2 linked regions of the Notamacropus eugenii genome follow. The protein of the gene in region 2 interacts with the protein of the main gene of each other region in a biochemical or structural test. Links are inferred from orthologs where the notes say so. Each region holds a gene or a part of one and is shown on either strand. Other genes may lie near its edges.

The links. The genes of interacting proteins can lie anywhere in the genome.
Region 1: the proteins of NFE2 (region 2) and MAFG form a complex in vitro, tested with the Homo sapiens proteins (2 studies listed by BioGRID and IntAct, with this or other methods). The link is inferred for Notamacropus eugenii from reciprocal best matches to the Homo sapiens genes NFE2 and MAFG.

What each region holds. Positions count from the first base shown.
Region 1 is NC_092873.1:326,073,861-326,080,706, forward strand, and holds the start of MAFG (transcription factor MafG), read right to left. Parts: upstream 3,022-6,846; 5' UTR 2,875-3,021; intron 2,702-2,874; 5' UTR 2,349-2,701; intron 2,195-2,348; exon of another isoform or gene 1,542-2,194; intron 1-1,541. UniProt on the Homo sapiens protein: Since they lack a putative transactivation domain, the small Mafs behave as transcriptional repressors when they dimerize among themselves.
Region 2 is NC_092874.1:227,422,220-227,429,435, reverse strand, and holds the start of NFE2 (transcription factor NF-E2 45 kDa subunit), read left to right. Parts: upstream 1-4,215; coding exon 4,216-4,329; intron 4,330-7,216. UniProt on the Homo sapiens protein: Component of the NF-E2 complex essential for regulating erythroid and megakaryocytic maturation and differentiation. Binds to the hypersensitive site 2 (HS2) of the beta-globin control region (LCR).

The DNA of each region.
Region 1 (6,846 bases), on a different chromosome or scaffold from region 2:
CTGAGTCTCCTGACTTTCACTTATTTAACAAATTCAAGCAAAAAAACAACACTTACCTTGTTTAAGGTACTGTTCAAAGCAAAGGAAAGGTCCAAAAGCCAATCTAGTCCCTATCAACATCAACTGTCCCTCCCACCCAGTGGGACCCCAGCTGAAATTAGGTCAGGCAACTGTCAGCCCTTTGTTCACCACTTAAAGGGTCAAAGCCTCAGTCAAGATCTAATTCCTCTTTAATTTCCAAAACCATGTGACCAGTACAACCAACAAGTTTTCGAAAACTTCAGCACCACCAGCTCCTTTTGTACATCTTCACTCTGTCTCTCTCTCTCTCTCACACACACACACACACTCCTGCCACTCTTATCTTCTTTTCTGTGTTACTCCCCACTGGGTTCCCAGCATCCCCAAGGGGCTTTCTTCTGGTCAAAATCTAAGCCCAGGGAGGTATATAATAAACTAACTTACACTAAAATAGAAATGATTGATTAAATTTAAAGTGTTATCCCTCCTAAGGATATATGTATTTTAACAGACGGAAAATGCCTTGAGTCAAAGTATTAAATCTCTGGTGGCAGAATTTCACACACCAATGTCAGTGGGTTAGTAGTCTTTGCTTGGGGTGGGGTCAGAGGACCTGGTGACCTCTGGCCAGACAACCTAGGTCAGAGTGTACATGTGTGTTCCTACTATCAACCCATTGATGTGCAGGAAATAACCTCCTGAGTCTATTATAAACAATGCTAATCCTTTAAGATACTCAATCCTCCAAATAACTGAACACTTGGCTCTAAAGAAGTCAGCACCTTTTTCTCACCCATATACCACCATTCTACAAATATTAGCCTCATAAACCCTAGTCAGGAAGTACTCCCTTACAGAGTTAAGCTGAAGGTTCATGGGCTCCTTCCTGCCCCTGGCCACATAGCTCTTTGCTCTAGCATAAGCCTCTATGCTCCAGACCACCCACTTTCCTCAATCCAGGTCTCAAGTCAGAGACTATAGACTGAAAACTTGTGCACCTTAGGCACACCCAGCCTTGCCAGAAAGTCCTGCTTCCTTCATTTGCCATTTCCCAGAATATTTGAAGTGTCCTTGGAAACCAGCTTTCTCCCGCCTTTGTCATCTTTGCCCCCCATATACTCTACACATACATCCTCTTCTCCCCACAACTCCTTCCTTCACAGCTACCCAGTCTGATCTGCTGCACTAGTCATGTGGACAAGGTCCTCTGCCTTCCAGATGTGTCCCTGAACTACTGAACAGTTTCAGGAAGTGTCCTTGACCTGGGACTAGTTCTGGTAACTAAAAAAGGAAGAGTAAAGTGCTGTCCCCCACAAGCTGTTGGGGTGGGAGAGTATGTACTCAAGGCTCTAGAATCCGGTCTTTTACTCCCTGAGGGAACTTTTAACATGACACATTTCAGCCTTCCTCACACCAGCAAAATTTAGGGGTTGGACCAGATGATCTCTAAGATTCTTTCCAGCTTTAGCATTCTGGGATGCCAATTAAAACTTAAGTAGCCCGGTCCTCAATAACAATACCTTTAGGCTGTCCTTACACCCGTTTCACTTTTTTCCCTCCAAATTTACTCAGTGAGGGCTGTCACCCGCTCCTTCATATCCCCTCGGGCACGAGGATGAGCCTCCAGTGACCTCATGCTGATGAGTCAGCAAGTCTTTGCCAAGGGCTCCGGCATCAGCTGCGGGAAGGGGGGCACAGCCGGGTGGTCTCTACCTCCCCTTCCTCCCTTCCCACCCGCCCAGTCGTCTTTCCTCCGGTTTCTTCGAAAGGCCCCAGCACACGGGAAGATGCTGACACAGACACCTGATGAATCAGCAGCTTTGTTCGGTCAGAGCTCTCCGCAACCACACCGTGCTGTGGCCTTCCCCACCAACAAGCGTGGGACTCACCGCTCCCGGCCCAGCAGGGTCGGGGGAGGTCATCCCGGTCGAACCGCACCTCCGGGCATTTACTCACGTACATTAACACCCCCAGACAGGGCTTAGGTGGGTCTGCACACCCCGGTCCCCCCAAAGACTGTGCAAATCGGACTCCTCCCGCCCCCCATCATCGAGAACCACCGAGACACCCAACTGGGCTCCAAGGGGAAACCAAGGCACGGGGACTGGGCTCCGTAGGCGGGCGCGACGCGGCTGGACTTGACGCCCGCGGGTACAGCTTTGCCCCCACCCCCGGGGCCCCGAGGGCGGCTCCCGGGTCGCCCCGCCCGACTCCACCCCGGCGGCAGGGCCGGCCAGACGGCCAGGGTGCCCCGGCCACTTCCCCGCCCGCCCCGCCCGCCCGCAGCCCCGGGCCCGGGCCCGCCCTCCAGCCCGCGCGGTACTCACCACACAGCGGGGCCGAGGCCCGGACCGGGCGGGCGGGGGGCAGGGGAGGAGGGAGGGAGGGAGGCCGAGCCCGGGCGGGCGGAGACTCAGGACCCGGGACGGGACGGCGGGCTGGGCGGCGACGCCGGGCCGGGGCTGCGCGGAGGCCGGGCGGGGCGGGGTGGGGCGGCGCCGCACGGCGCTGCGCGGGTCCGGACCGCGGCGGACCGGACCGGACCGGACAAGGCTTGAGGCCGGGACGGGACCAGGCTCGCGGATCTACAGCCGCCACAGCCGCCGCCGTTCCACAGACGTCACATGATGTTTGGTCACGTGGGCTCCATTCATGAAGCGGCGACGCGACCAGCCGGGAGCTTAAAGGGGAAGGAGAGAACGAGATGGGGATGGAGGGGGGCGGGGGCGCGGAGAGCGGAAAAGAAAGAGGGCGGGGGAGGGGAGGGGAAGAAACCCCGGCTGAGGCCACTGCGCCTGCGCACTCCGAAAGGGCCCCCCCCTCCCCCCCGCTTCTTTCACAGCCGTGACTTACCGTCCTCCTCCGCCCCGAGTTTTCCTCCCTCCTTGCAACCCAACGCGGTTCTTCCTTTCACCAGACGCTTCCTCCTTTCCCGCCCCGCCAGGCCTCGAAGGCCTTCCTGCCCCATGTGTTGGGTGAAGGGGGCCTCCCCCAAGGCACCCTGAGCTCTCCGGGCGCAGCAGAGTCGGGTCTCACTTGGGGTTCTTGGGCCGGCGCTGGCGCAGGGGGAGGGTTCAGTGCTTGCCGGCGCACTGGCAGGACGTCGGGCTGGGCCCGGTGCAGACTCCCAGACCCGCCGCGAGTCTTCCGGCCTGGCGCACCCGCACGGCGTCTTTGGGGGCTTAAAAGCTGCCCCAAGACTTTTGGGACACCCTGTGTATAGTTTAACAGGGCGTAGAGACTGCGCTTCCTCGTGTAGCTCAGGACCTGAACAAACATCAAACCTGTCTCTCAGCCCTGTGTTTCATTATCGTCCTCTCGTCCCAAATCCTAAGGTAATCAAGGTTTGGCCTCATACGTGAATAGAAGAAGACATGATTTCTTAACTAGTTATCTGTGGGTTATAAGAATCAGAGAAACCTTGCCGGTCTCGATGGCCGCCCCGGAACACTCATGCGTCCCGTGGCTGCTCCCAAGCTTTCCCTCCACCACCCTCACCCTCACTGGTAATCTCTTTTCTGGTAAGGGCCACTTCATCCTCATCCAGCTTTATGGCCATCGGTATCACCATGAGTTCGGTACCTGGCGCAGTGTTTTCTCTCCCCTTCTCTTCCCCTCTCTTCTCCTGCCCTGTTTGCACTAGGGGACTTCGGATACTCTCACTGCCCAGTTCTGCACCCCGCTCACCTCCCACGACTTACTTCTGCACACACATGTGGTTGTAAGCTAGATCTTGCCATCACCCGCCAGTGTTCTTACCTCCGTGTTTAGGAATGCTGAAATTATCCGGTCATTATCTTTGTCCTCCCTCTTTGCGCTCTGCCTTAGGACCCGCTTACTGCAACTTCTAGTTCCTTCCCATGCTGACTACCGTCTCCTCCGCTTTCACACCTTGGTGAACCAGCTCAATTCCGAATTATCTCTTCTTGAAGATCTTGCCCTGCCAAGCCTTGGATTGCTCCCACTGTTGTATTCCTGTGCAGCTCAGTTAAACTGGAGAAAATCATAAACTGTGCTGCCTGGACGCCGACTCTACATTTGTTGTGTAATCACAACTGGGCTCTCCCTACACCAAGGCAATGCTCGTATACCTCCCTAAACTGATTCACTAGCCCGCTCACCACAGTGGCTTTTCTAAAACTTGGTATCCCTCCTCAAGCTTCCCATGGCTCTCCCTAACCCCCAACAATCAGCTGAGAACCTTGTCTCATATTTCACTGGAAAAAAGTTGAGGTTACTCACTGAGAACTCCCTCTTCTTACCTCTTCCTCATATCACATCAGTCACTTTCTACTATCTCTTCTCGCCATCTGTCATGAAGAGGTTCCTCTTCTCCTTGCCAAGGACCTCTGCATGCGCAAGTGAATCTCCAGTCCATCCCATCTTCTCCAGTTGATTGCCCTATCATCCCTATCTTCTCACCAGTCTTTAATCTCTCCCTGTCTACTGACTACTTCCATATTGCCCACAACAGAGCCTTGGTCAAAAAACCCTCATTTGATCAGTCCATTTCCACTAGCTATCATCCTATGTCTCTTTTCTCTTTTGTGGCTAAACTCCTTAAGAAATCCATTTACATATAACTGGTACCTCTACTTTCCTTTCCTTTCACTTTCTTCTTAACTCTCTGAAGTCTGGCTTCTAACCTCAATCAATTGAAATTGCTCTCTCCAAGGCTACCAATGACCTTTTAATTGCCAAATTTAATGGCCTTTTCAAAATCCTTTTCCTTCTTGGTCTCTCTGCAAGCTTTGAGGCTGTTAATCACCCTCTTTTCCTAGGGCCTCTCTTCTATACAGGTTTCTGTGACCCTCTTCTTTCCTGGTTATTCTTCTACTGGTGTGACTTCTTAGTTCGTCTTTCAGGATCTTCATCCAGGTCACTACCACTAACCTTGGGTGTCCTCTAAGGATCTCAGCCACGTTCTCTTCTCCCCCTCCCCCCATACGATTTCACTTGTTGATCTCATAAATTCATCAGAACTGGATTGGATTTTCATATCTATGTAGATGATTCTCAGATTTATCTGACCCTGACCTCTATCCAGACTTCTAGTATCACCCCCTGGACTGCCTGTTAGGAATAAGGAACTAGACATCTTATAATCTTAACTCAATATGTCCAAAACTAAATTTGTTATCTTTTCCCTTTAATCTTCCCTACTTTCTAACCTGACAATTCCTATCAAAGGGACCATCATTTTCATAGTAATCCAGGCTCATAATTCTTCATTCTGTTTTACTCCACTCCCTACCAAAATCCAATCTGTTGTCAAGGTCTTTTGATTTTATCTTAATAATTTCTCTTTGTTTCTTCTGACACTGCCATGACCCTGGTCAGGCCCTCATTATCTCAAGCCTGGACAATTGCTATTGCTTGCTGGTTGATCTCCCTGCCTCAAGTCTCTCCCCACTCTAGTCCATCCTCTTCTCAGCTACCAAAATGATCTTTCTAAAGCATATCTGACGATGCCACCTCCCTTCCAATAAACTCCAGGGATTCCTGATCACTTCTGGGATCAAATATAAAATACTCTGATTTTTAAAGCCCTCTATAATCTGGCCCCTTCCTACCTTTTCAGTCTTATTGCACTTTATTTCACCCCATGTTCCAGTGGTCTCGTTGCTATTCCTTGTACAAGACATGCCATCTCCCAACTTTGTGCACTTTCACTGGCTGTCGCCTATGCTTGGAATCCTATGCTTTCTCATCTCTGCTTTCTGGCTTCCCTGACTTCTTTCAAGTCTCAGCTAAAATAGAACCTTCTTCAAGAAACCCCTCTTAATGTTAGTTAGTAACTTCCTTCTAAGATTCTCTCCAATTTATTCTGTATATATAAATTGATATTTATAATGATATTTTGATATAATTCATATATTATAGAAGATGTAGAAGATATTTCCATAATATTACATATAATACATGATATGTAATATACTATTATGCATAATATTTATAATAATTTAAATTGATATTATATCATATATTTATAAGTTGAAATAGACATTATGCATAGTTATTTGCAGGTTATCTCTCTCATTAAACTGTGAACTCCTTCATATTGGGGTCTGTTTTTTCCCTCTGTGTACCCAGCATGGAACATAGTAAGTACTTTAAAATGTACCTTTCCTTGACTTGACTTGTTTCTTTACCTATAAAAGCATTATCTCCTCGCTCTCAAACTCCCTAGTTTCGTAGGCTTGAAGACATTAAATAAAAATCAGTATTACTGTCTTAACAGTTATTAGAAGTGTAGCAATAGGGTCCAATCTCCTGGTTGATGACTACCTCTCCTAGACCACTCTTTCAGGAAAGCCCCAGCCATGCTTCACCTCCCTCCCTTCTCTCTGACCACTTCCTTCATAGCCCCCTCTGACAGTTTTCTTGCTAACCTGACCAGAGAGCATGCCCTGGAGGAACTTCTGCCTTGAGCCCTGTTTACCTGACTGGTAATTGGCTCACTGGGACCATTATTTCAGGAAAGTCCCAGCCGTGATTCACTTCACTCCTCCTCCACTTTCTTCTTCTTGTCAAGCTGAATGCACAGGTAGCATTTCCTTCTCATCTCTCACTCTCCAATTCTGGAACTATGAAATATGATAAATGTTCCTGGATGGGGTGTGTCAGTCCATTACTCTATGGGGAATTTTCTGTCCCTGTAATTTTCTGTAATAAAGTGTCTTTCATTCCTCTATGTGTATTGTCTTTCCCACTATAATGTCATCTTCTTAAAAGTAAGGACTGTCTTTGCTTCTGTATCTTAGCATAATATCTGATGCCTCTCCCAAGAGATTGTCTGTCTATTCTTAGTGGGCCTGAAGAGGC
Region 2 (7,216 bases):
AACTGGGCAAAACCAGGAATAATGGTGTCCTCACTAAATGCTAGGCACACTTGAAGAATTGAGAGACCTCGGTATGTACCATCCTTTTCCTCCCACTCATCCACCCATCCATCCATCCATCCATCCATATATACACATACATACAGTCACATCATTCCCCTGCCCCAACCCAAGGTTCCTAATAGATTAAATTTGGGTGCTGTATGTGTGGCAGAGGAAAGTATATGGAAGAAATGTAAAAGCAGAGAATGGGTCCACTCAGGATGTTTGGTCCCCTGACTCAGTTTATTTTTTGTCCCTTAGGAAAGATGGAAAAAAGTAGGCTCAGAATTAGAAATGAAGAGTGAAAGAAGAAAGAGAAAAGTGATTTTTTTCAGAGAAAAGCCTGGTTTGGGGTCAGAGAGACTAGAACAGGGAAAGTGAGCATTATGGAGAGGAAGGGTCTTCCTTCTTTACCCTCTCTTCTTACTGCTTCACCAAGGAATAAGCAGGGTAGAAGCTGGAGAGGAGATGGACTGGATAGCATTCTGTCTCCCCCCCAATCTTCCCCAGCTATACTTACAACCCCCTCCCCAGCCACACACACACACATACATACACACACACAGACAGACACACACACACACACACACACACACATACACACATGTCTGAGTTACTGAAGCCCCCAAGGAACAGGGTCCTGTCCTGATCAACAAACTCTTCCTTTCTAGCTCTCTCTAGGTTGGTCCTGTTTTCTCTCCTTTCTTTCTTCTGTTTCTTTTTCTCTCAAGTTGTAGCCAACTTTTCTTCACCACCACCACCACCACCACCAGAGGTAAGCTCATCTCCTGATAGAGATCCCAGTACAGGAACAAAAACCCTGAAACCAAGACACATACTAGGAAGCCCAGAACTCAAGGATATTTTGGTTCTAGAGCAGAGTGGAAACCCTGGGAAGCAGGATTTGAGGGTTTCTCCCTCCTCTCCTCATCACCTCCATTTCTCAGGTCTTGGTGCTCCTTCCATAGATGACCCCAATTCTCTATTCCTCATCTACTAATGGGGTTCCAAGATCTTTCTGTAAGCGTGTAAAGATCCCATCAATAATGTTCAGAGCAGAAGAGTGGGGAAAAGTCAGGGGTTGTGTGAGGGGAAAGGTATTTCCATCCTTACAAATCTCTGTATCCTTTTGGGTATATTAAACTGCTATTTGCATGGGCTAAGAAAGAGACCATTCAACATGGAGGTAAGAGGATGGGGAAAAAATGGACCTAGACTGGAACTCTATGCACTGTGAATGACTACCTGGAAAATGGTAGACAAGGAGATTTCCCTCAGAAATCCTCACTCAGGTGAAAGTCACTAAGAAATCAACTTACATGGAACTAATATCCCTCAGTGTCTCCCCACTAATCCTTGGCCCTCTCCCCCAGAGTATCCCCACATCCTTTCTCCTCAGAGTGATCTTTTTCACCATCTATTCACTCCTTTTTTTTCCTCCCCTTTCTACTGGGTCTCTCAACCAACTGTTTCCTGAAATAGAGAACCCTAAGGGCCCATAAGGATAAAGATATCTTTGAACGGCCTCTTGACCATCACCAGGTTAGGGGGGAGAAAACATTATCCCTTCCCCATCTCCTGGCACAAATCCTTTAATTTCCCCTTACAGAGATGAGGTAGAACCAACCCAGAGATACATCCATTCCTACTTTCCTGAGGAACGGGGAAGACAGAACCTCAGGAAAAGGCGCTGAAAGGGAAAGGATTCTATGGCCAAGGGAGAGAGAAAAACCATAAAATTATAGATCTTGGGTCACAAAAGGACCTCAAGACATCATGCCTTTTTACACGTAGGGCACTGTCTTGCAATTAAAGATGAGACAACAGAGAGTCAGAGGGTTTCAATGACGTAGGCAAGCTCATATAGGCAGTTACTGGTAGAGAGAAAAGCAGATCCTAGGTCTTTTGCCTGATGACACCCTGAAGGGGGCAAGGGCAGAAGACCCTTCCAGGGGAAGTCAAGAGAGAGAGAGAGAAAGAGAGAAGTAGTCAGGTTTAGCTTGGGGACAGGTTAAGGGAAAGAGGGGGCAAATCTACAAAGTAAGAGACATTCCCCCTACCCCTCCCTTAAAGGGACTCAGGAGTGACTGTTCTTCATTCACTTTGCTTTTACACAATTTCCGGCCAGAGCCCAAAGTAGGGGGCCAGAGGTTTGGGGTTCCGGTGTCGAAATGGCATCAAGAACAGAACACAAACACCCCACCCACTTGGCCCCAGGACACATGGGGATTCATCCTATGACTACACCCAGACTGAACTCAAGTAGGCATTTCTCCAGGGTCAGGCCCATGCACACTGTGGCCTGGTGGAGGGAGGTTGGGAGGGAGGCAATGATATTGGGACAAGTAATTGGAGGAGATCAGTGAGGGTAGGGAATTAGGGAGAAAAGAAAACACTGGATGGAGAGTCACGGGGTCAGTTTTTAAATCCAATGTCTGTCCATTGTTAACTGCATGAACTTGAGTCTAAGTTGTCTCTAGTCAATAGCTTCCTCCGCTATAGTAGGAGAGGGATGACGTGTCTAAGGCCCCTTCAGATAGAAATCTACAATTCCATGATGCAGGGGATAGAGGACACCAGAAGAGTAGAGAGAGTCAATAGGGGAAGAAGGTAAAGGGCCACTGGAATGATCCTCATGTTTCTGGGCATTATTCTCCTACTTTTTTAATATTACTAGTAAACCTTAATAATACCTTATACATACATAAGATCCTTCCTGGTTCTCACTAAATTGGGTTACTGAATACTACTCTTTGAGTTTATCTGTCTAATTAAAAGGTAGAGTCTATGTTAATTAACCTGGTTGATTAGGAATGTCAGCTTCTGAGGCCATACATACTGCCGAGATCATTAGATCATTTCTTTCTTCAGGTATTATTGAGGGTTTCTACTATGCTGAAGGATTGCTAATAAAAGTGAGTTTGCCCTCCATTCTCCTAGCCACTAGGTCTCTAACTCTAAATGATGAAGAGATCCCTATTGATGTCTCCCTCAAACCCCTTCTGCTCAAATTTCTTCTTATCTCTTTTTGCTTGAGTCTTATTGAGAAACCCAATGAAGATGATGGCTGTCTTGACAGCTTTTAGAGGTTAGGACAATTTTTTTCTCCCACTGACTCCCAACGACCTCTCCTCAAATCTCCTCACCATGTCCTACCTCTCCCATCAGAGAAAGGATGAGGAGGAAAAGGATGTGGGCTGGAGAGAAGAGGGCTGAGTTGGCTAGAGAAAAGCAGATTGGGAACGGGGATAAGGGTAATGATCCCCATGTCTCCAAAAAAGATTCCTCAGTGGATGGAACCACTGGAAATACCATAGGGAAGAATGTATTGAGGTTAAATAATAAGAACTTCTGAATAAGCAGAGTTGGGAAATGAAAGAATGAAGAAGGAAAACTGGAGACAGATTTGCTTCGAAAAGATCTCAGTTTAAAAAGAAACTTGTTTGTATGGGCTGAGGAATGGATAAAATGACCTCTTTGGGCCCACAGGCATAGAGGTTATGCCTAGAATATGCCTATCTTCCTTTTCCTACTCTGCTCTTTGCCCTAGGGCTGATAACTTCTTATCTCCCCCAGCCAGGAGGAGCCTAGGGTGGGGAAATAGGAGAGGGTTATCGAGGACCAGGCCTGGGGTTGAGGTAGTTGCCTCTTTCCAAGGCACTACCCCCTTAAGAATCTCATGGTTCTTACATGTCCTAGGAAGAAAAAAATTAAGATTCAGGAAAAGAGAGGCAAGATGGGGGAGAGAAATAAATAAATTCCTGATGTTGTCCCAGAGAAAAAACCCTAGATTCCTGGCTCCTTCCCCTGACTATGGAGGTGGCTTGAGGATGTGAGGAGGAATGGAAGAGAAAAGGTCTTTAGTCTAGGGAAGGTCAGGGACCTGCTACTGCCTCTCCAGGGACAAAAAATTTATTTTACAAGGGGAAGGTGGATTCTGTGATACTAAGGACTCATAAAAGGAGGTGGTCAAATGAGGGAAGTCTTTTCCCCTTAGAGGATCTCTCAGGAGTCAGAGAGTTGGTAGGCGTGAAATGCCCCTTCCCACCTACGCTGATGGAGGTACAGAATACACTCTGGTAGGGGAGATCCTCACCCTCTCACTTCATCATTTCAGGTTGCTTGGGTGACCTCGGCCGGGGGGGAGCCTTCCCTGGCTCCTGGCCTGGTAGGATGCCCCCGTGTCCTCCACAGCAGAGCAGGAACCGGGCTCCGCTACTCGCTGCCCCAGAGCTGGGAGAGATGGAGCTGACCTGGCAGGAAATTATGTCTATCACAGAGCTGCAGGTGAGAAGGGGAGGCTGGGCAGCAGGGATGGTCAGGGGTCTAAGGAGAAGGGCTAGGAAATGCAGATGCCTTAGCAGGAGTAGGCCTGAATGGGAGATCAGGTGAAAATCAGCCATGCCCAAGGCAGGAGGTGGGGATGGGGGAGGGCTTTGGGCTAGGTAAACAAGGGAGGAGGTACTAAAGGGGGGGTGGGGACAGAAAGGGGGTACCTGTGGGTGGTGAGGGAAACCTAGGCTCTCTCCACTGCTTTCTTTCCTCTCACTTTTCTTGCTTGCCCACCTCCTTTCCCCTTCTTTCTCTTTCCCGTCGCTATCCCCCTTCCTTTTCTGCTGCCTTACTTAATCCCCCTCCCCATACCTTCTTACTTCCTACATCATCTCACCTCCTTAACCTCTCCCTACTTAATCTCGCCTTACCCCTCTTCTCACCGGTGCCCCTCCCCCCAGGTAACCGAGTCTGGGGCCTTTAAGGGAGGACGATGCAGGGGTCCCCTCCTCCTGCTGGTCAGACAAAGGGGTATCTGTTGAACAGAACAATGACTTCTTTGTCCCTGGTTGGGTAGGGATCTGGGGTGGCCGCTGGCCATGGGCTGGGGGCAGTTCTCATAGCAAGATGACTGCATCCCTGCTTGGACTGACTGGCAGATGGGAGAGAGAAAGATGGAAGCAAGGGCAGGAAGAAATTGCCCCAATCCTCCAGTCTTGGATTGCCCCAGGGCTCTTCACCTCCAATTCTTTGCCCCTTTCTGACTCTCCTCATCTCCCCACCCCCCAGTATTATCCCCTTTTCCAGACCTATTTTTCTTTTCCTCAGTTCTGGCCCCCTCCTCCCCCCTCCCCCAATATATCCCACTCTTCTACATGCCCCATTCTTCTGTCACTTTCCCTTCTAGCTCACTAAAATGCCTCCCCACCCCCATCTCCCTAAATTCTAGGTTTCTAAACCCAGATGATAATCCAATTTTATAATGTCCTGACCCACTCCTGCTCTCACATCTTACAAAAATAACTGCACTATAGATTCAGGGGTCCCTCATGGGATCACAAGAACTCCTCTGTCTCAGACCACCTCTACCAGACTGCCTTCCACTCAGCAATTGTCCTAGCCAATTGGCAGAATTGTCCCAAAAGAATTTGGCCATAGGAGAGGTTTGACATCCATCCCCCTGTCTCTACACAGAAAGCTTCGTAGGATTATAGAATCATAGATCTAGACTTGGAAAAGACCTCTAGTCCAACCTACTAATTTTACAGATAAAGAAAATGAAACCCAGTGAGGCTGACTTGACCAAGGCCACACGAACAGACATGTTATGAAACTAGGTCTTCTGATTCCAGAGACAGTACTCTTTGTATCGTAATGTACTACTCTACTTCCATCTTAGAACAATGAGGATCTCTTTTAAATTTTAAAACCTTCCCCCAAAAGATTCTACAAACTAAATGTTTTGGGTAACCCTTCCATATTAAACTCAGTATTTTCTGTAATTGACAACACCAACAATGTAGCTAGCATTTTAGTAGTGCATTTAGATTTGAAAAGTGCTTTACAAATATTACCTCAGTTCATCCTCACAATAACCCTGGAAGACAGGTGCTAATATTATCCCCATTTTACAAGTGAGAAAACTAAGGCAAATAGAGGCTAAGTGACTTGCCCAGGGTACACAGCAAGGCAGTATCCAGTCAGGTCTTCCAGACCCAGGGTTCAATCTACTGCGCCACCTAGCTGCCTCTTTATTTGCATTTTTGTCTAAGGATTCAGGGATTCTTCTTATCTTTTATTTGGGTCAAGGACTCTTTTGGCCATGTGGCGAAGCCTGTGAAACCCTCCTGAGAATCATGTTTTTTAAATACATAAAATAAAATATCTATAGCATTGCAAAGGAAATCAATTGTAAAGAAATAAAATTTATCCAAATTTTTATTTAAAAAAGAAGTTCTTGGACCCCAGGTTTAAGAACCCCTGCTGTAGTCAGAACTCAGTGAATAGGCCATATTTTCTGTCCCGTCCTATGTGCTATCTATGACCCCCAACTTCTTGCCTTTAGACTTTATCTTTTCAGATCCTTCAATCAGTCATTCAGTCAACAAACATTTGTTAAGTATTTACTGTGTGCCAGCCATTGTGCTAAATGGTGGAAATACAAAGAAAGGCCAAAAAAAATTCTAAAAAATTAGACCCTCCCCTCTAGGAGCCCACAGTCTGAAAGAAGAAACAACATGCAGAGAGAAGATATATGCAAGACAAAATGGAGATTATCACAGAGGGACAGCACTAACATTTAGCAGGGTTGGGAAAGGCTTTTTGTTGGTGGGATTTTAACTGGGACTTGAAGGAGGCAGGAGACAGAAACAAGGAAGGAATGAATTCCTTGGGGTCAGGGGGTGGGGGTGGGGGTGGTACTGGAAGGGGTTTGGGTCAATAATGAAAATATATGGAATTGGGAGATGAAAGTGTTTTGTTGGAAAAACAACAAAGAGAAGAGTGTCACTGAATAACAGTATACGAAAGGCAGCGAGTTGTAAGAAGAACGGAACGGGGGAAGGTTCAGGTTATGAAGGGCCTTAAAAGTCATAGGAGTTCATAATGAATCCTGGAGGTGATAGGCAGTCACTAGAGTTGATTGAATGGGGTGGTGGGGTAGGCCCAGTATGTTTAAGGAAAATCAGTTTGATGGGTGAGGGGAAGGACTAGAGTGGGGAGAGACTTGAAGCATAAAGACCAACAGCAGGCAGTTGTAATAATCCAGGTAGGAAGTGATGAGAGCCTACATGAAGATGGTAAGAGAAGGGGGCATATGGGGAGATGTTACAAAAGTAAAATCGATTAGGACAGATTGGTTTAGGAGTGTGTGTGTTGGGTGGCGAATGCAAATTGAGAAAGG